Linked DNA regions of Rattus norvegicus. The protein of the gene in region 3 purifies or fractionates together with the protein of the main gene of each other region. This does not show direct contact. Links are inferred from orthologs where the notes say so. Each region holds a gene or a part of one and is shown on either strand. Other genes may lie near its edges.

What was found. Proteins that work in one complex are often made in the same cells at the same time.
Region 1: the proteins of Skp1 (region 3) and Fbxo45 purify together in Homo sapiens (affinity purification with western blotting; 7 studies listed by BioGRID and IntAct, with this or other methods). This does not show direct contact. The link is inferred for Rattus norvegicus from reciprocal best matches to the Homo sapiens genes SKP1 and FBXO45.
Region 2: the proteins of Skp1 (region 3) and Ccna2 purify together in Homo sapiens (affinity purification with mass spectrometry; 4 studies listed by BioGRID and IntAct, with this or other methods). This does not show direct contact. The link is inferred for Rattus norvegicus from reciprocal best matches to the Homo sapiens genes SKP1 and CCNA2.

What each region holds. Positions count from the first base shown.
Region 1 is NC_086029.1:82,053,956-82,059,767, reverse strand, and holds the start of Fbxo45 (F-box/SPRY domain-containing protein 1), read right to left. Parts: upstream 3,312-5,812; 5' UTR 3,278-3,311; coding exon 2,951-3,277; intron 1-2,950. UniProt on the Homo sapiens protein: Component of E3 ubiquitin ligase complex consisting of FBXO45, MYCBP2 and SKP1. Functions in substrate recognition but also plays an important role in assembly of the complex.
Region 2 is NC_086020.1:121,358,386-121,364,177, forward strand, and holds the start of Ccna2 (cyclin-A2), read right to left. Parts: upstream 3,312-5,792; 5' UTR 3,211-3,311; coding exon 3,040-3,210; intron 2,391-3,039; coding exon 2,147-2,390; intron 1,227-2,146; coding exon of another isoform or gene 1,139-1,226; intron 142-1,138; coding exon 29-141; intron 1-28. Other genes in the region: Bbs7 (Bardet-Biedl syndrome 7 protein), read right to left, coding at 5,605-5,738. UniProt on the Homo sapiens protein: Cyclin which controls both the G1/S and the G2/M transition phases of the cell cycle. Functions through the formation of specific serine/threonine protein kinase holoenzyme complexes with the cyclin-dependent protein kinases CDK1 or CDK2.
Region 3 is NC_086028.1:36,900,600-36,906,420, reverse strand, and holds the start of Skp1 (S-phase kinase-associated protein 1), read right to left. Parts: upstream 3,514-5,821; 5' UTR 3,431-3,513; intron 3,393-3,430; exon of another isoform or gene 2,952-3,392; coding exon of another isoform or gene 2,946-2,951; intron 1-2,945. UniProt on the Homo sapiens protein: Essential component of the SCF (SKP1-CUL1-F-box protein) ubiquitin ligase complex, which mediates the ubiquitination of proteins involved in cell cycle progression, signal transduction and transcription.

The sequences.
Region 1 (5,812 bases), on a different chromosome or scaffold from region 3:
CCCCCATCTCCTTCACTACCCTCTTTCTAGTGGATCTACCACATTTCTAAAATCGTATTCCAACCTGTTCTCCATAGTGGAGTCAAAACTAACCCACAAACTGATCATGGCACCACTCCCCACGGCCATTGTTCTTGCTTACAACTAGAAAGGCTTCAGTGTAGTGTGTCCCACTCCTTTTATCTTACTCAAACCAGCGTCACCTGCACTCTCAGAGCAACCACTGGCAGTCACCTTGTTTCTCATACAAGCAGAGTCCCTCCTCAGAGGCTCTTCTTGCTCCTCTTGGCCTCTATACTTATCTTTTAGGTGTCACTAAGCTTGTGCATCATGTCTTATAAGAAAGTCTCTTCCTGACCTCCGTACCTAGTTAAATCCTCCATTACTGACACTCAGAACAGATGTGACTCTCACTCATAATACTTACCAGATGCAGTTTCACAACGGCAGTGATCAGATTAATAGCTATTCCCCCAGGCTGGGGGATGCAGCTAGCACATATTCAATCCCCAGTACTGAAAAAAGAAACGCAGGCAGGGAGGCAGGCAGGAAGGCAGGAAGGCTTGTAGGCAGGCGCAGGCACATGAACACGCACACGCACTCTACTACACTGTAATCCCCACAAGGCAAAGTGTGGGTAAGAGTTTGCATTTTTGCTTTCCTTGTTTTTCTGCTCAGAGTTTTTCATAAAATTTAACATCATAAACCTCATCTTAAAGTTCAGCTTTGTGGCATCTTAATCTCAAACTTTTTCTCCACTCAGCTCCTAAGTTCTTCCTCCCCACGGACTGCTAGTATTCCTATACTACACTAGGTAGCAATGTGTGCCACATGTTAGTTATTTCCCTGTCTAAGGACTTCTACACTGAGTCCTCCTGAATTAACACTGCATTTTCACAATTGTCACCTACAAGAACCTGGGTAAGACAAGCCCACCTTGGAGCCGCAGTGCACGCAGCAGAAAGATAATGAAGATTAGAAACTTAAAACTATAATCTCTCCGGAAAAACCAAAATCAGTATCAATTTAGTCTGCAGTTAAGAGTGCCCCGGGGACTGAAGAGATGGCTCAGTGGTTAAGAGCACTGACTGCTCTTCCAAAGGTTCTGAGTTCAATTCCCAGCAACCACATGGTGGTTCACAACCATCTGTAATGAGATCTGATGCACACTTCTAGTGTGCACATACTAAATTAATAAAACCTTTTTATTTATTTAGAGAGCACATACATAAAATAAATAAAATCTTTTAAAATTAAAAAAAAGAGTGCCCCCTGATTTTCCTGTGTGTGTGTGTGTGTTGCAGAGGGAGGTCACATGTCTGTAACTCCAGCTACAGCAGTAGACATTCTAGATTCTGTGGGCACTGGTATTCTTCACATATGCATGAGTATGTGTACTTGTGTCAAAGAAAAAATAAGTACAAAAATATGATGGGGACGGTGGCAGGAGTGGTGGCACTTTTAGACTCAGAACTTTGAAGACAAGAGGCAGGTGGATTTCTGTTAACTTCCAAGCCAGCCGAGGCTGAATACTGAAATCCTGTCTCAGATAAATAAAGAAAGAAAAAAAGAAAGAAAGGAAGAAAGAAAAAAAGAAAGACAGACAGACAGACAGACAATTTATTTGGTAGTTGACATAATTGACAGCAGTGTTCCTTCTCTCATCAGACGAAAACTCGTCTTAATATATAAGAATATATCAGTACTGTGGCCCATCCTATAATCCCAGCACTCTCAAGGAACAGACAGAAAGATGGCAAGTTGGAGACCACCCGGACACACAGTGAGACCCTGTCTCCAAAAACAGACATAAAATATGTGTATACACATATTTATAATAATACATGTATATTAAAAGAAAGAGTGCACCTATTTCACATTAAAAATTACTTAGACACTCACTGGCAATATAGAATTAAAAAAGAAAAGATATATTTACTACATTCCTGGTCAGACGTCTATCATCTCTCGTATATGCTCCTTGTTTTGGACAGTCTCTCATTTTATGTAGCCCTGGCTGTCCTGGAACTCACTTGGCAGACCAAGCTGGCCCTAACTCACAGAGGTGCACCTGCCTCTGCCTCTGCCTCTGGAGTGCTGGGATTAAAGGTGTGCGCCACCACATCCAGCTTCATATGCTTTTGATGACTGCTATCCTGAAGAGCTACTATCTACCTACATGAACCTTAGTCCAAGGCCTTTTGTTTGTATGCTGGAGAATACTTGGTCCTGCCACGACCTGTTTGTTAGCATTTTAATTTTGTTATGAAAGCACAAGAATCAAGAACGACAACAACAAAAGCCCAGCAAAACAGGAATAAACATATTACATGACAAAAGAGACATCACCCCAGTAGAACTAAGAAAAGTTATCAATAACAGCAGGACAAGGCAGTTTGATGAGTTATACCGCACCAATGAGAGGAAGTAATATTAAAGTCTCTTTCTTACAAGTTAGTTAGCAGGATGCCTACCCTGATCATCACTTGGAAGCGTTAAATATTGTGGCCCTAAGAGAACATGGGTGAAAATAATGAAAACGTGCTTATTAATCAGAGCCAAGAAAGGGGATGGTGAACGCAAAAGCCCCAGCAACTAAACCCATTTTAAAGCGACCTCGAATGCATTAGTGCCATTCTACTTGGAGGCCAGGGAAAATATATGATCAAGGGTATCGGCTGGTCTTTAAGAGCAAAAACTGTTGAAAGTAGAGCTGAGGAAAATGAATGATGGGAAACCACCTAGTATTTTTAAAAGTGAGGTGGATTACGAAGCACAACTTCAATCCAAAGAAAAGATCGTTATGGAAAGGAGGGGTGGTACTGACTGGCTTAAGCCGTAGAAAGACGGGATGGTGAGATGAAACCTCTAACTCAAGCTTTCAAGGTAAACCCCAAGAACACCGGGCAGGAGAGGAACTGGGCTTCGACATGGCCCGGGATTCCCTCACCTTGGCCTTGTAGCTGGGCAGGTTGCAGAGGATGTCCGTGCGCAGAGCCTCTTCTGCTAGGCTGCGGGCGCACAGGCTCCGCCACACCTCGCTGTTCTCATCGCCGTGGAGGCAGCGGTACCAGTGCTTGCACACCAGGGCGCAGCTCCGCAGCTCGGACAGCTCCAGGTAGGAGAACACCAACTCCAGCACCCGGCTGGGCAACCGGCCGCCGATCCCGGAGGACGCGGATCCCGCGCCGGCGCTGGCGCCGGCGCCGCCGCTGGCGCCGGCGCCGCCGCTAGCGCCGCCCGAGGCTGCCCCAGCCCCCGGGCCCGGCGCCGCCATCGCCTCACCAGCCGGCCCGAGGGCCGCCGCTGCCGTCGCTGCGCCCCGTCTCGGCGCGGGAGGCCAAGCCTCGCCTAGAGACCGGAGCAGCTCGCTCACCGCCCCTTTCAGCGACAGCCGCTCGCGCCTCCACCGCTCCCGCCCCTGCCCGGGGGCGTCCGCTGCGCGCCCCGCCTCACTGAGGGCAGATGGCGCGGGCCACTCGGGTCCCCGCCCCTCGTAGCCGCTCAGCGCGGGCGCCGGAACCACCCGCCTCGCCCTGCCTGCCCGCGACGCGCCCCGGGATCCGCCATGCGGGTTGAGGGCAAGAAGCAAGGGCGCACGCCCAGCTCGGCCGCCGCGCCTCTCAGCCCGGAAGTGACTGTTCGGTGGAGGCGCCTCGCTCCCTAAGCTTGATGGGATTGGATGCTGCGCCTGAGGTCATCACTACGCGCCACCGGGAACTGGAAGCCCAGGTATGAGGCTGTTGGCTAGTGGGATTCTGATCTGTTCTCAAGTGCGTTTTTCTGTTTTTCCTCTAATGGCCTTGAGTCGGCTTTCCTTGGCCTCTCTTCCTACGGAGTTTCCCGTTTCATTTGCTTTCTGCTCATTCTCCAACTTTGTTTACGACAAAGTTTGCTAGCCAGTTCTTAGATCCTTCATCTTCAGTTCGCTTGGATCCATTAACTTTACCTTTGGGCAGTTGGAGACCTCTTGTCGTGGTCAGGTTAGATCCATTTTACTTTATTTTTTACCTTGAGAAATTGACATCGTCTTTTCCTGGCTAGGACAGTAGGGGACTCAACAGAACATCTATACAGTATCCATTCTAAAAGTAAGGTGGCTAAATCTGAGCAACCGTCGTAAATACGCAGGTTTTTATTATATTTGATATTAAACAAGTTTGGGTAATTTCAAAGGGTCATTTGAATACCAAGTGTCACAGTCTTTTGGACAAAATATAGTGAATTCGGTTCATCTCATAGTAAAAAGATTAAGGAAATATGTGTAGTTTTTTGTTTTTTGTTTTGTAATTTGTAATCCCAACAGTGGGAGGAAAAGAACCTAGCATTATTTGAACTTCAGTTCAAGGGGAGCCAAGCCTTCCAGCTTCACGAATGACCGAGGTGTACGCATACACACGCCATACACATAAAACAAAAGAACTACAGTGTGAGCCAGGCATTGATGAGATCTTTTAATCTGACTTTTATAATTCTCAAGACTATGAAGTGATTATTGTAATAGGGCCCACAGGCTCAGTAGTCAAGTCCAGTATTGTGCAATTTTTTGTAGCAAGAAACCTTGCCTGAGATCCACCTATGTGCAATCCACTTCCTGATTTTTAGTAAAAACAAATGAACAACAACTGCTTCCCTACTGGGGTATAATTACATGCTTATGCCTTGCTAATCCCTTCCTCAAGGTGTCTTCCACCAAGTAACCCAAATTTTTGTCTATTGTGTCTAGGCTAATGTCACAGTCTTTGAGTTGTTTTGGTTGTCACTTAGTTTCTCCACATCAGGACTAACTTTAGTCCAAATCTATGAAGAAATGTTGACCCACACATTATAGTAATGGCCTCTCTCTTCATGGCTCCTGAATGTTGAACCAAATTTTGTCTGAATGACAATTGCTTTTCCTTTAAATTTTGTGGATCTGAAAAGAAAGTAAAGAACTACATACATAGAATGGTTAGATTGAAAGGCATGGGCAAAGCACCATAGTACTGAGAGTATAGACTCTAGTTACTTGGGGACCCTAGGTGAGACAGATTCAGACGGTCTTTCTTTCTCTCTCTCTTTCTCTCTCTCTCTCTCTCTCTCTCTCTCTCTCTCTCCCTCCCTCCCTCTCTCTCTCTTTCTTTATTTCTCTCTGTCATCTATCTATCTATTTCAGGCTTGTACAAATGGATAGTGGAAATTCATAAATAAAGGTATGACTGAAAAAACACTGATGGCAGAGATCATCCACTTATCAAATACTTTATCTTGTCTTAAGACGAATCTTTGAAGTATCCAATGGTATCATTCTGCTCTCTTTTGTTTTTTTTTTTGGGGGGGGGGTGGTGCTTGTTTTTTAAGACTGGATTTTTCTGTATAGCCCTAAATAATCTGGACCTTGATATGTAGACCAGACTAGCCTTGGATTCACAGCCGCCTTTGTGCTAGTATTAAAAGGCATGCCCCACTGCCCAGCTTCATTCTGTTGTGTCTTTACCCCAGTTGTTCATATGACTCTAGTGGCATGTCGTCACACAACTAGAGCCAGGATGGTTTCAAAGTGTAAGAAGATGGCCTTCATCACTCCCTTCTTGTTACAGGTCCTTCACCTGCTCTTCATGAACCTCCCCTCCCCACCTCCCCCAGGACTTTATCCATTCTACCTGCTCGGAACTGCCCCCTGTGGCATTTTACCCTTTTAAAAGATTCCTTTAACATGCCCTACTTTGCTCTTACGCATTCCCTCATCAAATTAGGAGTTGGAGGAAATGAATCTATTATCTAATTAAACTAATCATGGTAGGATATGAGTAATTCTGTGCTTTAGGTGACC
Region 2 (5,792 bases), on a different chromosome or scaffold from region 3:
TAGCCATTTTTGATGAACAGAGCCTTACCTCCATTTCCCTAAGGTACGTGTGAATATCTTCATGATAGTCAGGTACTTCATTAACATTCACTGGCTTTTCGTCTTCTAAGACAATAGATATATCCATAGCATGGGGTGATTCTGTGTATGACATTAAAGTCAAAGTATTTATCTCTTTCGATAAAAACACCCTAATGGCAAAGCAACACTGAATATCTTATTCTGGTTTTAGGGCTACTGTCCTCATAGCTCTAGGATAACCTTAATCCCAAAAAAGAAGTATACATCAGTAGGCTACTAAGAGGACTGAGAATTACCTTAACGTGTCATCTTCCTCAAGAGATGAGTAGATAATACAATGGTTCTGTTAGGACAAGTACTTAACATCAAATTTTAAAATAAATAAATAAATATATATTATGTATGTTTTGAGATCGCAGAACCTACAGGTTGACATAGTCAGATCACAATGAGGGAGTAACTAGAATTGGGTAAATGGCATATATTACCAAATGTTAGTAAAGATATCAAGTCTGTCATACCATGTTCAAACAGACTAACTATAATCTGTAAGGGACTTGGTGTTTGTTAAACAGGGTCTCATTCTGTGGGCCAGACTGGCCTGAAATTCACTCCGTAACCTAGGCTGACAATCTTGCCTTAGCCTCCTGAGTGCTATTGGGCATTAATATACTCAGCTCTAGTTTTTACCATTTAAATTATCTTGAGATAGGGGAATCTGTGTAATAATAGTTTCCATACCCTCCTCCTACCCCATCAGTAGAACTAAGTGAACTGGGGGGCTGGGAAATGGCAGTGCAGTGCCTGCTGGATAAGCATGAAGATGTGCATTGCATTCCCAGCACCACTCAAGCTAGATGTTGTGGCATTGTCTGCAACCCTAGACGGGAAGAAGAAAAAGGGTTGAAATACTCAGTTCCCTGCAGTTTGATGGCCAGGCTGTCTAGCCAAATCAGTGAGCCCCAATGAGACCTTTGATTAAGAAATGATATAGAAAAGTGATTGAAGATACCCCAAAGTCAAGTACTCTCTCTAGCCTCTACATGTACCAGCACAGGCAAGCGTAATACTCCTTCCCCTGGCACACATATAGCATAAGGTAGAAAGTGACAGATACCAACATCTCTGGTCTCCACAGTGAGATCATAGCACCGGCAGAGCTGTCTATAGCAGCTATTCTGCCTTCCATGTGTCTGACCTGCAATCTGACAAACATTTAAATTAGTTTTAAAGGAATGGCAGATATAATGCTTAAAACTGTAGGCTCAAGGAGCACTCTTAGGACTGGCATGTTAAGAAGTGAATCATACATAAAACTGAAATCTATTATCTCAGCCAAACACTTATAAAGTCATATTAAGATAGGCATTTAAGATCTAATTAAAATTGATGTAGCTTTGTCCAGCAGTGCCCTCCCTGCTGGTTAAGGATTTGAGTCCTTTTATAGGTCAGTGGATCTGTGATCCTTTCTAAGCCCACTGTAGTAATCTTAACTCACTGTGTTATGAGCAGGTAAGCATAGTCTTAAAACTCAAAAATATCAACCGCAGGACTTTTGGTGACTGCAGTCGATCAGTGCTAAAGTACAGTGGTAAAATCCGTTAGTCATGGCTATGATGAACACATTTGGAGTGAAAATTTTAAAAATGCTACGTATTTTAAATATATTTGAAACGACATTTTGATTCGTAAACTGAATGTAAATAAACCTGAAATTTGCAAAATTAAAAAAAACCTCAAAAATATCACTAACCCAATTAAGTAACTAATTTTTTAGCTTAATAACAATCTTTAGAGTATGCCAAGCAAGGTACGGATGGTGCCAGGCCTGTAATCTAGAATTTGAGAGGCTGAGGCAGGACGGTTTGAGTTCAAGGTTAGTCTGAGCTACAGATTGAGATCCTGTCTCAAAAGGTAAAGGTTTGGTGTGGTAGCACATGCCTTTAATCCCAGCAATCAGGAGGCAGAGGTAGGTGGATCTCTTATTTCAAGGCCAGCCTAGTCTTATAGAGTATGAGTTTCAGGACAGTCAAGAATACTCGAGAAACTCAGAGGGGGAAAAAAAGACAGCAAGGAGGGAAGGAAAGAAGAAACAGGGACTGGTAAAAATAAAGAGTAACCTTACCAAAACTACCATCCATTGGATAATCAAGAGGTACCAGTGGTTTTCTGGCTCCGGGTAAAGAGACAGCGGCACTAAAAGCCAGGGCATCTTCACACTGAGTTTCTTTTTGCTCAGCTGGCCTCTTCTGAGTCTCTTCAGCTTCATCCACATGAATGGTGAAGGCAGGCTGTTTACTGACTGCTTTCCATGAAGGAACAGTAGGGACGTGCTCATCGTTTATAGGAAGGTCCTTAAGAGGCGCAACCTAAAGAGAAGGAATTCTTTTTTAATACTTTGCTTCTTGCCCTGTGGGTACCAACTTTTATTTCCAAATACTCTTAAGAAAAATGTAAGTTCATGAGTCAAAGTCCAGGTAAGGTGAGTAAACCGATTTGTCACAGCCATTTCTACAAAGGCTATAAATGCAACGGATTGGAATTCCAAACTAATCAAAGACTAAAGTTAGGGGAAAGAACTGATTCACAACTTTAGCCTCAGGGTGGAGCAAAACAGCAAGTCTGGCTAAAATGGCGGAATTTACCAAGCAGAATACTTGCTTTATGTCCTTCCCTTAAGTAGTAATCTGTGAAGCAGATGGTGAGGGGGAAGGGATCTATATCCTACTGCAATGCCTGGCTTTAAAAGTGGAGGGAAAGGTACATGGCCGAAGTCGACACGCGGGGCACTGCTTGGTATGACCCTAGAATTTTTAGGAAGACCGCTCCACTAGTGCTGAAGGGCAGTATACACGGGTCCGCAGGGCTCGTGGGGCTATTTGGTACTAAAAACGCCCGGACCGCAAAGGCTGCAGCCCGACTACCCCTAGAAAGCTCAGCATGCTTTTTGGCCCTCTGGGCTGGTAAACCCAAGACCGCTTCCGCCCGGCCCTCCGACAGACCCCCGCGCCCTTTTACCCGCCGAGTCTTGAGCCTCTGCTGCGGCGCCGGTCCCCGCACCTTCCCGGCCTTCAGCACCGCCTGCGCCCGCGGCTGCTGGGCTGGCGCCACTTTTTCGGGGTTGACATTCTCCTGGTCTTCCTGCTGGGAGAGCAGGGCCGAGCCCGCCTGTCTCGAGTTGCCCGGCATTGCGGCTCCGGTCCGGATCCGTCGGCGGCAGAGCGTGCAAGGCGCCCGCCGCTCCCGGGCTGCGCGGGACCCTGGCGGCCGACGCACGGAGCAGGCGCTGCGGGAGGGAGGAGCGCAGAGCCCAAGTGCCGCGAGCCGCGCGCGGCCCGCCGGCTGTTCTTGTAGTTCAAGTAGCCCGCGACTATTGAAATGGACCAATGAGGGCGGTCGGGGCCAGTGACGTCACCAGGAGCGCCGGTCGCCGCGAGCAAAGGCCCGACGGGAATCTGGCAGGGCGGGCGCCTGAGGGACGCGCCTGCGCAGAGAAGGGCGGGGCAAGCGGCAGCCTTCCGCAACTCTCCGATCCTCTGTGGGTCTGTAACCTCCCAGGATCCTACCAGAGCAGCTGGGCGGACCAGACTAGCCCTCGGGGCCTCGGAGTGTCAGCATTCCTGTCAGCTAAGGGGTGTAGCGACTTCCCCTGGTCGCTGGGTGGCGCCTAGGCAGGACTGTATGGACTCAGCTGACTAGCCGCTCCCTTACCAGCTGACTAGCTGCTCCTCTCTCTCGGTGGTGCTGCCCATTCAACACAGGGAAACTGATATTTTTACTGTTTACTACTGCTTCGCCTCTCCTGTATATATTTTTTGTTTGTTGTTTTTGAGGCAGGGTCTCCCAGTTGTCCTGCGATTCACTGACAATCCACCCGCCTCGGTCTCATGAGTTCTGTTCTAGGACTAAAGGCATGTGTCACTATGCCTGGTATTCCAGTAAACTTTTCCTCGCCTCTAATAAAGATGGGTCAATTTAAAATGCCAACTTGAGCTATTGTTGGTACCAAGTGGTGTATTACAAGAAATTCAGATGTCCATTTATTTTGTTAATCCTTGGTTGTGACATCAAATAGTACACCATGAAGTTCCAGTGACCCAAATAGATATTACATTTAAAATGAACTGCATGAGTTCAAGTTAGTTCCAAGTCAGCTATTTAGTGAGACGATGTCTCAAGAGTAGAAAAAGTGTGCATAAGAAAACGGGGCAGCCAGGAGGCGGTGGCTAAACCTTTAATGCAGGCAACTCACCAGGCGGGTGGATCTCTTGTGAGTTCAAGGCCAGCCTGGAGGGCAGAGCTAGTTCCGGGTCAGCTACACAAAGAAATCCTGTCTTGAAAATCAAACCAAACCAAACCAAACCAAACCAAACCAAACCACCCCCACCCCCCCCACACACACACACGGAGGGAAGGAGGGAGAGAGAGGGAGGGAGAGAAATACAAAACCTTACTAAAATAAAGACCCAACTATACGTGCCTTAAATGTTCGTATTTAATATTTAAGAATTGCACATAAAATATAATAAAATGTAATTATTGTTTTCTGAAAAATTCATATTTACCCTTTGAAAACAAAAGACAGCTTATTTTCTCTTATTTTTTTAGTATTTTAAAACTTTCAATGCAATATTCCCCTGAAATGAATGACTAAAACTTCTGTTGCTTTTAAGTCTTCTTTTTTCCCTCACGTGTACAATAAGAAGGAGTTTTGTGGATACTAGTAGGGGGGAATCTTTGAAGCCATCACTCTTCTGGTTACACACAGGAAAGACATCCATCTGAGGTCCCTCAGGTCTGATCAGGCTCTGCTTACTTTGCTGGCCACAGTCTACAGCACTAAGCCAAGTATTTCAGATTTCAGGAGGATCATGTCACCAAGGAAGAGAAAATGGGAATCCTTCCAAATCCTAGGAAAAACTTGGTAGGTTATTTCTACTTTCTGATAACACAGAGCCCCAACCTCATAAAATACTAGCATGGTCTCTTAGTCACATATGCTTCACTTAAGTGGTTGAAGAATTTGCAGAACAGTCAGGAAGATCAAGTAATGTAAATATAAAGGTAAAATATGTTAGGAAACATGAATAAATATATATTTCCAATTTTCAACTTAGAAATTAAAATACCAGTTGCCAAAATGTCATAAATAACTCTTATAATCATTCTCCTTATGTTGGTTTGTTTAGACTTTTAGGATGGGGTCTTCTGCTGTAGCCAAGGCTGGCTTGGTCCCCTCTCAGATTCTGAGGGCCAAGAATTTAGACACTAGCCATCACAACCACCTCTACTTGTGTCTCTTTTTTTCTTTTTGTCTTTCTTTTTCTTTTTCTTTTTCTTTTTTTCTTTTCTTTTTTTTTTTCCGGAGCTGGGGACCGAACCCAGGGCCTTGCGCTTGCTAGGCAAGTGCTCTACCGCTGAGCTAAATCCCCAACCCCTCTACTTGTGTCTTAAAGAGGAGAAGAAAAGTGTCTTCATTGCTGAATGACTCCAGGAGATAGGCGTACCACTTAGTTATAATATCGTGGGTATTTGATGTAGCAATCAAGCATGCTGCACTGTTGGCCCTACCTTGTTTATCTTTCATGCTGCATCAAAGAAAGAAATCAGTGTGTTCTGGTCATAGCTGTCGAGAATCTCCAGGAGTACAGGTACTTTGGTTTTTACATTAGTGCCTTTGAACTTAAATTTATCTATGAAAAGATCAGTAATCATACCTAGAAAGAAAAATATTATTTCTTGTCATTGATTAGTTCTTTTAACAATGCATG
Region 3 (5,821 bases):
CTTAAATTTAGAGTCTTTTTTTTTTTTCTGTTTTGGTTTTTCAAGGTTTCCTTGTGTATCTCTGACTGTCCTAGAATTCACTCTGTAGACCAGGCTGGCCTCAACTCACAGAGAGATCTGCCTGCCTCTGCCTCCCAGTGCTGGGGTTAGGGTAAAGGTGTGAACCCAGCTCCTTTTAAATTTTTTTATTACCTATTGTTCAGATGTCCAAGTTTGAAATCGTCTGGCTAAGTACCTACCAAATTAAAAAAAAAGACCTGCTTCAGCCAGGCAGTGGCGAAGCATGCCTTTTAATCTGGGCACTTGGGAGACAGAGGCGGATCTAGAGTTCAAGACCAGCCTGGTCTACAGAGAAAGTCCCAGGGGAGCCAAAAGCTGCACAGAGAAACTCAAAACAAACAAACAAAGCTGGAGAGATGGCTGAGTGGTTAAAAGAGCACTGACTGCTCTTCCAGAGGTCCTGAGTTCAAATCCCAGCCACCACACGGTGGCTCACAACCATCTGTAATGAGATCTGATGCTCTCTTTCTGGTGTGTCTGAAGACAGCTACAATGTACTTACATGTAATAAATAGGGCAGCCAGGACTACACCTAAAGACCTTGTCTCAAAAAAGCAAACAAAACAACAAAATACATTTAAGTCATAGTGGCAGGTACTATAAACCCAGTACTTGAGATGCAGGAATTCAGACATTGGGCACACAGCCAAGTTCAAGTCCAGTCTGGGTTACATAAGAATCTGTCTCAAACAAATATAAATTTAAAATAGCATGGTAATACTGTATGCCTTTAATTCCAGCACGTGGGAGTCAAGGTACAGGTGCATCTTTGTGAGTTCAAGGCCAGTGTACACAGTGAGTTCCAGAACTGTCAGGGATATACAGAGGAACCAGTCCTGTGAAGTCCAGTTTTTGGAAAGATGAGGATCATAATTTCAAGGACTGACTAGGTTACATAATGAGGTCAAGCCAGCCTTGGTGGAACTCATTAAGAGCCTGCTTAAAATGAAATATAAAAGAGGCTGGGGATACAGCTCCTGAGTGTAATGCCTAACATGTATAAAGCTCTAGTTCAATCTGCAATATTGCCCTCTCCCTCTGCCCAAAAGGTGAGACAGAGTATAAGTATTTCCACAATCCCAGCATTTTGGCAAACAGAAGCATTAGGAGTTCATGGCCATCTTCTTGATACATACAAAATAAATTTAAGGCTAGCCTAGTTTTCTTGCCCCTGTCTCAAAAACTGATCTCAACAACCCCCCCATCCAAAAATGCATCAACTGAGATAAAATATAAGTCATTAGGAAAAATATAATTTCATATATTAAAAAAATTAAGCAACTAGCTCCTAACATGACTTGAGTTTTAGGAAAAACCAAAACCAAACAAAAGCAAACCAGTATTAATACTAAAAGCTCTAAACCAGCAATTTATCATCTTCAGATTTCCCCCTCATTACTCCAAAAGAGTAATTCAAGACCTCTTTAAAATTTCATGGGGTTGGGGATTTAGCTCAGTGGTAGAGCGCTTGCCTAGCAACCGCAAGGCCCTGGGTTCGGTCCCCAGCTCCAAAAAAAAAAAAGAAAAAAAAAATTTCATAAGCAACTTTTTTTAGTAGTTTGTTTTTGAGACAGGGTTCCTCTGTGTTGCCCTAGCTGTCCTGCAACTTGCTCTGTAGCAAGGACTGGTTTTGAACTCAGCCATCAACCTGCCTCTGCCTCCAGTGCTGGGATTAAAGGTGGGCACCTGGGGTTGGGGATTTAGCTCAGCGGTAGAGCGCTTGCCTATCGAGTGCAAGGCCCTGGGTTCGGTCCCCAGCTCCGAAAAAAAGAAAAAAGAAAAAAGAAAAAAAAAAGGTGGGCACCAAAATCCCCAACTCACATGTAACTCTGCAGGTCTTATGCTTCTGAGGAATACCTGGGTGTTATAGGGTTAGCACTTAAAATAACTATTGTACCTATTTAAGGGTCAAACACTTAAGACTCGGCGTATCTCCTAAAATATTCATTCAGCTTTCTGAGACACTTGTCCCCATTCCTCAAGTAAACAATAATTGGGGGGGGGGGGGGGATAAAGCTTGTTTCACAATCATCCATGGTTGAAAAGACTCAAGAGTTCACTTTTCAACTCACAAATATGCTGCAGAACAGAGAAGCCCAGAGCAGCAGACCCTCCTTATAAGGCAACAATAAAAGTTAAAGAGACCAGCTTTTAATAGCAAAACACTATGTTCTCTTTATGGTCCCCAGCACTGTAATGATCACTCAGGAACAAGTCTATGTGGCTAATAAAGTTATTTTAAAAGACAATTCCATATTTCCTTGAAATAATTCACAATAAAGACATGCTTAGTCATAGTCAAATTTAGGTATCAGGTTACTTGCAAGAGAGCCAGGGAGGCAATCAGTTAATCTGTAATTCAATGCACTCTGTAATCCTAGACTTCACTTTTGTTGTGGTGGAATTAAGTGCAAAATTTTTAAGTAATAATGTATGAGATTTCGATTTGATATGCTTTCAAAAAACCCTTCTTTAGTTCTCTAAGCTCCTGGACTTGGAAACTAAACCACCATCCAAGTCTAGCATGAGAATTCTAGTACACTTAAAACAGACTTTAAAAACAAACCTGTTTTAAGTGACTCGAAATTCTGCCACTTGTTACTGGACTGCAGGGCAGAAGGGAGTGCATTGTTCTTTGCCACAACACAGTCTACTGTAACATTCTGATGAAAAACTGAGTCTCCAAACCTGAGGACTCCATGAAAAAGTGAGCCAAGAGGCATGTTTTAACACTATCCCTTAAAAACCCAACACCTTGGGTTTTAGCGTCAAGGGCTCCTAAAAGTCACACACCTCAGACGACAAGGTCTATTACAATAAGTTCAGAGACTGCAGGACGTGACAAAAAAAAAAAAAAAAGCGAAGAAATATCGGGAACCTGTTACCTGCATATTCGGTGGTTAAATAGGTAAGACCAGTAAGGAGCAAATGTCGCCAGATACAGGAGGAAGGGAGAGAGCTAAGTATCGAGTGGCAACGACCGCCACCACCCGGAAGGCCCGGGACCCCTACTCAAAGCCTTGCGGCCAACCCGCCCTGGAGCGCGGAGCAACAAGCCTGTCGCTAAGGCAGGCCCGGGACGAAGCCTAGGCCTTGCAGCCGCGTTCGGGGCCGACTGACGTCGCCCGCAAAAGAGCAGGCCTGCCACAGAGCTGGATACAGCAGCGAGCGAGCGCCGAAAGGATGGGCGGCCCTAGAAGGCCTGACTCGGCCGCCTCGCGCCTCCCGCGGTCCGGGGTCGGCAACGGGCCGCACAGCGCCTCAGGACACGCCAGGCCGACTCGCCGCCTCGTGCACGCCACAGCCAACCCGGGGCTCCCACCCAGCCCCTCCCTCCAGGACCTGGTCCGGCTCGCGGGCTGCTACTCACCGTGCTCGGTCTCAAGACCGCAGGCCTGAGGCTGCCGAACAGAGTTCACAACCGAATAGAAGTCTCGAGAACAAGGCCACTACAGCAGCGCCGCGCGGCGTCAGCTTTTATAGGAGCGGGAAGAGGGCACCGAGGACCCCGAGTTCGTGACGTCACACAGCCGGCCGGGCTGGCCGTTGAGAGTGCCTGACGGCATGCGGAAGGCGGGTGGCAGGTTCTGGGCGCCGCAGAGGTCTCCTGGAGAGGTGCTGAGCGGCGATGGGTGGAAGGGTGGCTGAGCAGGAGGGGGACTTCCACTTTACTCCGCCGTCCTGAACAACGCCGTGCTCTCCTTCCGTGCGGACGCCGGCACCGGCTGGGGAACCATCGCGACCCGAAGGGTCTTTCAGGCAGAGGCTGTCTTAAACTGCTTGAAAGACCCCAGTCCTGAAAAGCCTGGAAAGAACAAACCGCAAAACCGGTTGTGGGTGGGTGTGCTTTAAAGGAGTCACCTCAGCCTGACCACTGTTACTCTCCTAATAACCCAAGGAAATAAGGGTTTTTGGTTTGTTTGGTTTTTTTTTTTTTTTTCCGACCTGGAATTAAGGACTTGAACCTTACTCCACTGATAACTGAGCTTTAAAAAATTACGGATGTTGAGTCAAGGTGTCTCTAAATACTCCTGACTTGGTGCACCTGCTTAGTTTTTATTTTCTTTGCATTTTAAGACGGGGTCTCGTTTGGCACAGAGTGACTGCAAATTCATTGCGTAGACCAGGTTGGTCTAAAACTCGTGAGATTACCGGCTTTTTTTTTTCACCACATATACTCGCCTTATACTCTTTTTGTTTTGTTTTGTTTTGTTTTGAAACAGGGTCTTACTAGATAAACCAGGTTTGGAACTCGCTATTTAGACCAGGCTGGCTTTAAATTCAGATCTGTGTTTCCAATAGCTCAGCGCTGGGAGGCAGGCACCACCTTGTTGGATAATCTTAACCTTTATTTCCTACCTTTGAACTTTGAAGAGGCTTTCACACCCCAAATAGCCATTGTTGGAGTGAAGCGCCAAGCCTGGAGAGAGAAAACAGGGATGTGGAATGGAGGGTATATTCTTCGGGTAATCATGCTCTCTGCCTGTGTGTGAGGCCTGTGAGGCCCGCGCTGGGAATCCATCCAGTAGTGAACCAGGACAGTCAGCCCAACCTGAACAGACTATGCTGTATGGGCAGCTCACAGAAGGCTGTGATAAGGTCGCTAGAATGAAACAACTTTGAAGTAAAGGGAGAGGTCTGAAAGGACCCATCTGGCCTCAGCCCAGCCAGGAACTGGGCACTTGCCTGCCCTGCCCCGCTGTGTCTAGGGAGCATCACTATCCCCACCAAGGCGCCAGGCTCACCTAGCCAATGAGCACATGATGGTATTCCTGGCACCACAAAGACAAAAGACGTTTCCACACAGGGCCTCCTAAAGAAACCAGAGCCTACAGTTTCTCCAGGACAAGTCTGGGCAGAGAGGCCAAGCAATGGCTTGAATGACCAGGTCTTTGTCTGATGGCTGTGGTATCCAATGTCTGCCAGGTGCCACAGCTGATGACAGAAGATGAAAGGCCCACAGTTCTCAGGCTCTTTATCTGCAGCACTGCCTGCCCTTCGCAGCTCCTACTTAGGGCCTGCCAGGAAAGGCCCACTTGGAGAGCCTTTTCCTCTCACATGGCATAAACTTGGTGGGCTCCTTAAACAGTCCTGGGTCATACAGCTAGTCTAAGAAGCCAGTACACTGCCTGTCACAAGATAGGTGTATGTTTCTCCAGAGGGATGAAAGCCTCGGTACAGGAATTAACCAATGCTTGGAGGAGAAAATGGAGGTTTTAGTGCTGGGACAAAGCTTAGCATGCCCAGGACCCTGGGTTCAATCCTTGCGGTGCCCAGACTATTTAAGGTACAAATTAGTTCACAAAAGATGCACAAGAAATTGTTTGCCTCAAAGAAATGGAGCTAGCAGGTGGGGCAAATGTTGGGTGATTTGTATATTTTCCTGCCATTTGCCTATGGGTTCATAGGCATGTTTTACATAGTAATTTTTTTCCCTGAAGTGAGTTAGGCACAGCACTACAACTTTTTTTTGCAAGTCTGTTTTCTGGTTCTGGGGATGTGGTTCAATTGGTGGTGTGCCTGCCTTGCATGTGTGAGGCCATGGGTTTGGTTCCCAACACCCCCATAAACTGTACAAGTCTGTAACCTCAGGAGACAAAAACGGGAGACTCAGAAGTTCATGACCATCCTCTGCACTTAGTGAGTTCAAGAATAGTCTGGTCTACATAATTTTGGATCAGCTGAGGCTATAGAGTAAGAACCTAAATCAAAAAAGAATGTTTAAGTGAATAATGCACTTATAATTGGCCCCACTCAAGGA